2 linked regions of the Drosophila melanogaster genome follow. The protein of the gene in region 1 interacts with the protein of each later gene in a pairwise test. Each region holds a gene or a part of one and is shown in the gene's direction. Other genes may lie near its edges.

Region 1 (4,356 bases):
AACATCCTATAAGGCGAAGGTCAGTAGATTTGTGAATATATTTGCAGACATCAGGGACCCACCGCCAAGTGGGCAGTGCAAGGATGTATTTGCCTATCTGGCGGATCCCACAAGTAAGGCCATAGTGGTGTACGATGTCGTGGGTCAGAGCTCCTGGCGCATCGAGAACAAATTCACCTATCCGGATGCTAAGTTCGGAACGCACACAGTGGCTGGTGAGAGTTTTGAGCTGCTCGATGGACCTTTGGCTTTGGCGACGACTCCTTTGGGACTGGGATTGCGCCGCCATCTGATTTTCCACGCGCTGTCCAACGAACTGGAGCTGGCCATTCCTTTGGATATCCTAAATAATGCCACGAATTGGCAAAAGGGTCTGAGCTCCTCCCTGTCGGAATTCACTGTCTTGGGTAAGAGAGGGATTCAGTGTGCCTCGCATGCGATAAGCAGACAAGGATTCCTGTTCTGTGGCTTCCTGGAGCCAATCGGAATTTTCGGCTGGGACATACGAAGGCCCTACAATCGCGAAAATGTCAAGCTACTTGCTATTAATCCGGCTACGCTGCAATTTGTGAGTGGCATGAAGATTGTCCGCAGACCTGCTGATGGACGGGAGGAACTGTGGCTGCTCTCCGATCGACTGCAGAAGATATTCGCCGGAACCATTGACTACAGGGAAATCAATTATCGGGTGATGCGGTGCGATGTTGATGACCTGTTGCAGGGGCGGGGCTGCTTTTAGGTGCCCAATTCCTAATGCCCAGACACCCTCGAGATCTGTGTAAATACTTTTAAAGCCGACATAAAAGATGTCCATCTATAAATCTTGGGACGATTCGAAAGTGTTTGCTTGACCGCCACAGGTACACGACCTTTGTCTTTGGGTTTGATGGTCCATGTTACACTCGCAAAAATAAATACCAAAATGCCAAACACTCTTTATCAGCTTTCTTATTCTTTTCACTTAATAAGTGCTGAGGTCGTGTTAAATTTTTACATTCATTCGCATTTATAAAATTATAAGTAATAAATCATTAAATAAAGATTCTTATCTTTGGATTTAGCAATGATAGGACTTAAATGTATTGCAACATTTGTTCTATTACCACATAGCTTAAGTTTCTCTGAGTGCACTTTGAGATTGAAGGCTAAGAACTTTAGGGCCTACCTGCACATCTTTAGTCTTCGGCAATCGTTTGAACCGCGCGGAACTGTCACTTAGCAGGTTCTCATTTGATAGCCATGTTGGTCGTCCTGCTCGCATTATTTTGTGCAGTCCAGGGCCAGGCATTGGTCCTCAAGGAGCTGCACACCCTGCATCAGTGGACGAACCTCAGTTTGGGCGACGATCTGTCCAAGGGCAATCGCTTTCTGCCGGTGGATGTGGACATTGAGTACGGCGATGAGGGCAGGCATCGCACCTTTCTCACGATTCCGCGACTGGGGATGGCCACACCCTTCACACTGGCCACCGTCATTGCGGAGCACAATGAGCTGGTGGAGAATCCCAGACTGGAACCGTATCCCAACGAGGAGTGGCACGTGCCACCCAACAATTGCTCCGGCATCACCTCAGCCATTAGGACTTATGTAAGTAATAAAGCATATTTTCCCAACAGAAGATATTTCATGAATATTTATCGTTTTCTCCCAGATCGACGAGTGCTGGCGACTCTGGGTGGTGGATTCAGGGCAGGTAAACTCCCTGCAGTTGTGCCCGCCACAAATTCTCACATTTGATTTGGTGAAGGACGAACTAGTCCAACGACACGCACTTCCGCCCGATTCCTACATTCCCAGCGTATCCATCTTCACGGCTTTGGTGGTGGATCTGGCCGAGAGGGGCACACCCAACCGATGTGTTGGCGGCAGAGCGTATATAGCCGATGCCTGGGGTTATGGTCTAATCGTGTTTGACTCCCTGACGGGACGATCCTGGCGCATAGAGCATGAGTCCATGAAGCCGTCGCCCTTGCTGAGATTAGGACGCTCCAGCAACTCGCAGGCGGGAATATTTACAGTGAGCCTCAGTCCCAGCGAAGTGGAAGGTAGCTATTCAATTTAAATTCTAAATACTCAAAAATTATTTATAATTTCCAATGCAAATTTACAGACCGCTTTCTGTACTTTCACACGCTGAACTCCTTTAATGAGATGAGGGTTCCGCTCTCCCTGATCAACAACGAGACCTTCTGGAAGTCTGCGAATGCCAGCAGGGATAGCTTCCACAGCCTGGGCACCCGAGGAATCCAGTGCGAATCGGAGGTGATGGATCAGTCGGGGAATCTCTACTGCAGCCTCATCAGTTTAGGGGCGCTGGTGAAATGGGAGGAGTCCGTGTCCAACTACACGGCGGATGACCTGCGTGTGGTGGCCTACAATCCGCACAAGATCAAGTTCGTCACGGGCCTCAAGATCAACAGGAATTCCAAGGGAGAGGAGGAGCTGTGGGCCTTGAGCAGCCAGCCGAAACTCTTTGTTGGCGGCGACTTGCCCGCGAACGAGGTCAAGTTCCAAATAATTGGCTGCCGAACCGCTGACCTGCTTGCCAACACGCCGTGTACAGTGGGCGCCGCAGAAACCACGCCCACCAACGTTTAATTAAAACTTAGTTTTAACAAGTTTGAAACTGCGTCAATCGATTACTCTGATTTAAATTGCTGGCTGTAGAAGGCTGGCTGTTATGGCGCAACTTTGATCTATCGATAAATTGCTGACTGTGTTTAGCTGAGTAGTATGGCATTTGATTTGCTGACTGTGGATAGCTTTGTGCTATGGCACGTGCTTAGGGCTTGGTCACACTTAAGTTAGCCAATTAGAAAAGTAAACAATGTCTAACTGGAAGCCGTCAGGCTACGAATTACTAATTAGAAAATCTCCAACTAGACATGAATAGGAAAACCTCTAACTAGATTTGAATAGGTAAACCTCCTATCGATAGTAGCCGGTAAATATCGATATCGAATTACCGGGTGACCATCGGCTTAAGTTCCAGCTCTATGTTTACGTGTAGAACTTTATTTTCGGTTTAGTTTTGTTTACCAATAAATTTCGTTAGCTATGACAAATCTACAACGCTGGCTATTTTACGCATCGCTCTTTGCGATTCCCTATCTCTCCGTTGTTTTGGGAACAGTGCAAACGCCACTAACTACCAAGTATTTCCTGCACATTCAGCTTTTACCACTTTTGCTCCTCGTGATTTTTGGAGTGAGTTTTTGGATATGAATCAATGCAGATAACACCTCTTATTGACTACTACTATATATTACCCACAGATATATTCCGTTTGGACTGTTCTATATAGAACTCTGACTTTTAACGATTGTCCCGAGGCCGCCAAGGAGCTGCAGGATGAAATTCAGGAGGCTCGCAAGGATTTGATAGCCAAGGGATTTCGGTTTCGAGATTAGGAGACTTCCAGCTCGTAGGACTTGTGCATGTTAATCTGTAATTCCATTATTTATAAAAACAAAAATTACGCAAATTTACTCTAGACCGCATTTTGTGTGGGCGGACGCGTTGTTGGGGGCTGATTTCCCCAGGTGTCGGAAGTTTGGTGGCCAAATTATGTTGAGGTTTTGAAAGGATATGCTTGAAAAAGTATGGAATATGTTTATGTTTAATTGGCTTAGCTCCCCTGTGAATTACTCAAAATAAAAAATATAAGAAAACTAAAAAAGTATATGAGGTAAAATACGTTTAAAGAGATTAATAATATTCTTTACGGAAAACATATTTTTACTTAATGAACATGGTATATGGAAAACTCGTAAGTGCGAACCATATATTGCAAATCCATGCTTTGGCTATCTATTTCCAATAAATCAATTTTTTTAAAATTCTCTTAATTACAATGCGAAAGAGAAAAAAATATACTGTTTCAAAACTTTAATTTTCTCTTCTGCAAAATACTGGAAGGAGTTATAATTGCGAAGCTGAATGTTGTGATACTCAAAAGATCCAATATAAACCGATTAATAGCCATTTGAAGTTAATTTGTGTAATTTTTTTTTTAATGGCGGACAATAGTTTGAAAATAGAAATAAATTTCAAGAAGATAATACATAGTTGATGATAAAAAAGATAGTACATTTATTTACTCATGGTTGGGCAGTCTGGAAATCGGCTTTCTAATGGCCGACTGGAACTGGAACGGCGGTTTAAGCGTCAAGCTCTCTACAACAATCAACAGTTCGCGCTCAGCCACCGAACCGCTAACAACACGACCGCCGTTCGTTACGTGCTGGCTATATAACTGCATTTATAAGAAATTCTGAAGAACGAGAAGCCTGAAGATGAGTCACAAAATCGCCGCTGTGTGCCTCTTGATGAGCTGCCTGATTGCCACGGCTTATA
Region 2 (5,063 bases), about 12 Mb from region 1:
GCTGGATTCCCCCAGGTGGAGCCCTTCCTGATCAAGCGCTTCGACATCTCCGACGGACGCACTGGCTCCCTGAATCTAAAGCTCAACTTCAGGGACGTGAATGTGGAGGGCCTGTCCAGTGTGAAGTTCGACAGAGCCGTGTAAGTAGCAAGTGAAATGAAAAGTGATTTCCTTCTTAAGCAAAAGTGAAGAAGTTCTCATGTTTATTAACAGAAGAAGATATATTAAGTTGATTGCACTTATCCATCATAATCGTATTTTTCAGTGGCTTTGGCGCTGATCCTGCAACCAGCAAGTTTGAGATGTACGGATCCTTTCCCAAGATCGTGCTGAAGGGCAAGTACGTGGCGGATGGACGCATCCTGATCCTGCCGATTCGTGGCGATGGCGATGCCGAGATCGTGTTGCACAATCCCAAGTTTTCGGTGAAATTCAAGCCGGGCACACAGCAGCGCAATGGACGCACCTACCTGAGCGTGGATAAGCTCAAGGTTCTGGTGGAGCCACAAAAGTAGGTGCAGTTCGGATTTTAGCTGAGATATACTAACATATTTGTGTTCCCACAGGATGAACATTCGGCTGGAGAACCTCTTTAATGGCGACCAGGCATTGGGCACCAATCTGAATCAGTTCCTCAACGACAACTGGACGGAGGTGTGGAACGAGCTGCATCCCTCCATTCATGTGGCCATCGCCGAGATCATGAAGAGCGTTCTCTCGCAGCTCTTCAAGCGCTTCGCCTACGAGGATTTATTCCTCGAGAACTGAGCACTAGTCGTCCTAGTCGCCATCAGGCGCCCTAGGACTTTAGGCTAAGTGTACGAGTATTTCCTCACCTATCCAAGCTATTCTCACTCACATGGGGCGTTGCATTCCGGCATTCCGGCCATTGACACATCATCATCGTATCATCGTATCTGCTAAGCTAAGCTTTAACTTGTAGAATAAACAAAAACATTCGAAAAAAAACTGGTTCTGCTTCTGCGGGGGGCCATTGTTAGCTAAAACGTGGATCTCACTATTTCCGCACAAGTGTCGCATACACTTTTTGTTTCATTTTTGGCCAGCAATCAGCAATCAACAGGCAGCTCACGTGATGGAACGATTGATTCGAAATTTGCATGACAAAGGCATTATTGCTAAGGTGACTATACTTGTGGATAAAAGCGTAGTTATACATACGCTTAAAGTATTAAAACATCCAACAAATTGAAATAAACACCTTAATTATTATGAGCAAATACTTTGTGTCTTAAAAAAGACGAAGATGCATGCTCCTACTACTACTCCTACATCCTGTGCAACTAATTTAGCCCAAAGTGCACTAAAATTAGTATATGATATGATGATATGATATATGACTAAGATCTGCTTGTCTTAGAATCAAGAACTAACTAAATGGCAGTGCTATTAATCTGAACACAACTGTGCTGTCACTCATTGCGAACTCATTTCACTGTCCAAGTTCAAGAGTAGCCAACGGTATAGCTGCCATCCCGATCCCAGGGAATCGGACACCCAGTTGGCCTTGGGTCAGTGAAAATCTTCCACGAGCGAGCAATCAACTGCAGCGATTCCGAGCGAAACAAGTTGCTTTTGTTCTCCACGGGGGCTGGACTTTAAAGCGGGACACTTGGTCATTAAGTTAACCCAAAGTCTAGGACCTGTTCCGAGCTACTACTCCACCGCTACTCCTCCACTGCCCTTCACTTCGATTCGCAAGAACTAAAGCCAACTAAAGAACTGGTGGTCACGATGACTGCGTTGTTTTCGCATCTCAATTCGGCTATATTTGGAACTGGCCCTTTTGTGAGTTGCACACTTGCCAGTTAACTTTGTTAAGGGAGAACTTAATACCATGACTTTTAATTGGACATAATCTGTCTGATACTTAAATTCATTGAGCGGATTTTCGATGTAACTGATTGATGAAGATTAAGGTGAATAAGAAGATTTGCTACATGATCTACTTGCTGTCTAAAGTGCACCCAAATGAGGTGATAAACTAAGGCTTGTATTGAAATTAGAACAACGTTTTCTTACCTAATACCATCAGATGATTCAGTTGCTATTCGTTATTAGTTGATGATTCTGAAACGAGCTCTGGAATTGACAGACAGACGGTTACGGCACAGATAAGAGCTATATCAAAGGTTGCCATTAGACGTTATTTGAGTTGCACTTAGTGGACCACTATAAATACTAGGCGAAAATCCCGTTCGTATTCAGTAACTTAAAGTTATAGACGTGTTAGCATGTTCGCAATCGCATTCGCAGTGGTTTTGTGCCTTTTGGTCTCGGTGGATGCCAAATTCCGTAAGAGAAAGTCCTTTAAAACAAGACCTTGCCAATGAAGTAATAATCTGGGAAACCTAGATAGACACCTACCTCTACTTTTCGGTTCCAAAATAATCCTTTGTGTTCCTCACAGCCGAAGATCCAAAACCTTGTAAGTATGGTGATGGCGAATGTATCATGAAGCTGTGCAACACCCTGTTCAGCGAAAACTCGGCGGAGGGGGATCCTGGTCTGAACCTGATGCAGCTGGATCCGTTGAAGGTGGATCGGATGGTTATTAGCCAGGGTGAGAGCTCCAGTCCCGTGGGCATAACTCTAACCTTCACCGACAATCTGTTGTATGGGATCAAGGACCAAAGGATCGTCAAAGTAAAGTGGGTGCAGGAACAACACTTTGTTTGGATGAGAAGGATGTGATTCAACTTGCCTTGATCTTTGCAGGGGTTTCGGAAGGGATCTCACCGCCAAGCACGAAGTGAAAATTGTCACGAAAACCTTCTCACTCGTTGGACCCTATAACATCCAGGGCAAGGTACTCATTCTACCGATCAGCGGAACTGGACAGAGTAACATGACAATGGGTAAGCTATGCCAATTGATTTTTCAGATTTCGAGGAACTAAAAATCCTGTCCAGTTAACGTCAGGGCAATCGTCAGCTTCTCGGGCAAACCGCTGGTGAAGAATGGGGAGACCTACCTGGACGTTACCGATCTGAAAATAACGATGAAGCCGGAGTCCAGCCACTACCATTTCAGTAATCTGTTCAATGGGGACAAGGCGCTGGGTGACAACATGAATGTCTTCCTCAACGAAAACTCGGAGGCCATTTACAAGGAGACGGCCAAAGCAATCGACCGATCCTTTGGCAAACTTTACCTGGGCGTCGTCAAAGGTGTGTTCTCCAAACTGCCGTATGCCAAGTTTTTTGCGGATGAATCGTGAGTTAGCTCTTCAAAGTGGGCAGAGTCCACATAAAGATACTAGATCATGTTGTTTGCGTACTGACAGATCTAAGTTTTGAGGCTAGCAATCATCATTAGGTTTAATGGAGTTCGTGTTTCGCGTTTGAAAGTGAGAACACAAGTAACTACTATTAAGCCATCTCAGCTAAATAATCTGTAAGTGTTGTGTGGCAATAAAAGTTACATATATGTAGTTAGCACATTGTAAATTATTTATAAGTGATACAAAGAATTCTGTAAAATACCATAAAAACATTTAAAACTATGACCCATTATTAATTAAGTTACAGTGAGTGGAACCCTATAGATCAGGTTGATCCAAAAGATGAAGGACCGCCTGAAAGTATGTGTTATTCGCGCGCGGAGATTCCGAAAGGCAGGGAATATCTGTAACTGGAAAAGGCAGTTACATTAAAAAAAAGCTTGATAAACAATCTTTGTTGACTTAGCCATTAATTAGACGTTGAAACGGGAATTAATGTGCGTTTTGGGGAAGGCCGATCCAATTTGCATATATCGAGCAAATTGCACCCAAAACGCGATTAGGAGCGATTGAATGGGACGGGGTCGATGTCTGGCTTGGGAGTTGGGAACTTGGGAGTTCATTAAAGGGAATCGTAAAATGAATTCGCCGGCTATAACCAGCCACTTTGCCATACAGCCAGCCTGCCGGTTTCGGTTTATAATCCATTTAACTGACTCAACTGCCAAACGGTCTAAAGTCAAATTCTGTGCGGCTGAAACGCAAAAGCGGTTTACGGCAACAAAAACATGATACATTTCAATTGACGAAAGTGACTATATAAGTGTTAACGCCCGCGGCTAATGGATCAGTACTCGATTACGTTCGCCGCCAGCAATTATGGAGCTAACTCTCGCCCTCGTCCTGCTGTTCGGATGTGCGTCCACCTACGGACACGCCTCCGATTTCCGTGAGTTGCACACACCCCCTTTCCGTAATATATAATGTTTATGTATATTTCACAATCGCCACGCCCCAATTTACAGCCTCGGGCATCGAGAGGTGCGCCATAATGGACGAGCAGTGCCTGGAGGACAGGGTGAACTTCGTGCTCAGGAACTACGCCAAAAGCGGTATCAAGGAGCTGGGCTTGATCCCCCTCGATCCGCTGCACGTCAAGAAGTTCAAAATCGGACGCAATCCGCACAGTCCGGTCAACATCGATCTCAGCTTCCACGAGATGGACATCTTGGGTCTGCATCAGGGAGTTGCGAAGCGAGTGAGGTGAGTGGATCCTCATTTCATTTTATGATCGCTCTGCTTACTACATTTTTCTGTTTCGGATTTTAGCGGATTCACAAGGGATCTCAGCCGCTCCATCGAGCTGGTCATGGAAGTTCCAGAAATAGGAGTCAGAGGACCCTACTCGGTGGACGGAAGAATACTCATTCTGCCCATCACCGGAAATGGCATTGCTGACATACGCCTCAGTAAGATTTGCCTCCCACAGCTTTGAAATCTAAAATTTTTAATGTGTTTCTGGAATTCGCAGCTAGAACAAAGGTACGTGCACAGATCAAATTGAAGCGCGTCTCCAAGGGCGATCATCAAACCTACGCCGAGGTGATGAACATAAAGGTTGAGCTGGATCCATCCCATGTGACCTACCAGCTGGAAAATCTGTTCAACGGCCAGAAAGATCTCAGCGAGAACATGCACGCGCTTATCAATGAGAACTGGAAGGACATCTTCAATGAACTGAAACCGGGCATTGGCGAGGCCTTCGGACTGATAGCCAAGTCGGTGGTGGACAGGATCTTTGGCAAACTGCCGCTCGAAC

Evidence for each region. The genes of interacting proteins can lie anywhere in the genome.
Region 2: the proteins of Dpm3 (region 1) and to interact in a two-hybrid assay, tested with the Drosophila melanogaster proteins (one large-scale study listed by BioGRID).

What each region holds. Positions count from the first base shown.
Region 1 is NT_033777.3:13,401,690-13,406,045, reverse strand, and holds Dpm3 (Dolichyl-phosphate mannosyltransferase subunit 3), read left to right. Parts: upstream 1-2,994; 5' UTR 2,995-3,057; coding exon 3,058-3,207; intron 3,208-3,275; coding exon 3,276-3,410; 3' UTR 3,411-3,487; downstream 3,488-4,356. Other genes in the region: yellow-e2, read left to right, coding at 1-739; yellow-e3, read left to right, coding at 1,240-1,587, 1,652-2,045, 2,111-2,598; GILT1 (Gamma-interferon-inducible lysosomal thiol reductase 1), read left to right, coding at 4,296-4,356.
Region 2 is NT_033777.3:25,237,935-25,242,997, forward strand, and holds to (takeout), read left to right. Parts: upstream 1-2,245; 5' UTR 2,246-2,255; coding exon 2,256-2,316; intron 2,317-2,431; coding exon 2,432-2,672; intron 2,673-2,739; coding exon 2,740-2,879; intron 2,880-2,933; coding exon 2,934-3,241; 3' UTR 3,242-3,734; downstream 3,735-5,063. Other genes in the region: Jhbp7 (juvenile hormone binding protein 7), read left to right, coding at 1-140, 266-511, 567-768; CG11854 (uncharacterized protein), read left to right, coding at 4,124-4,193, 4,270-4,507, 4,574-4,713, 4,776-5,063.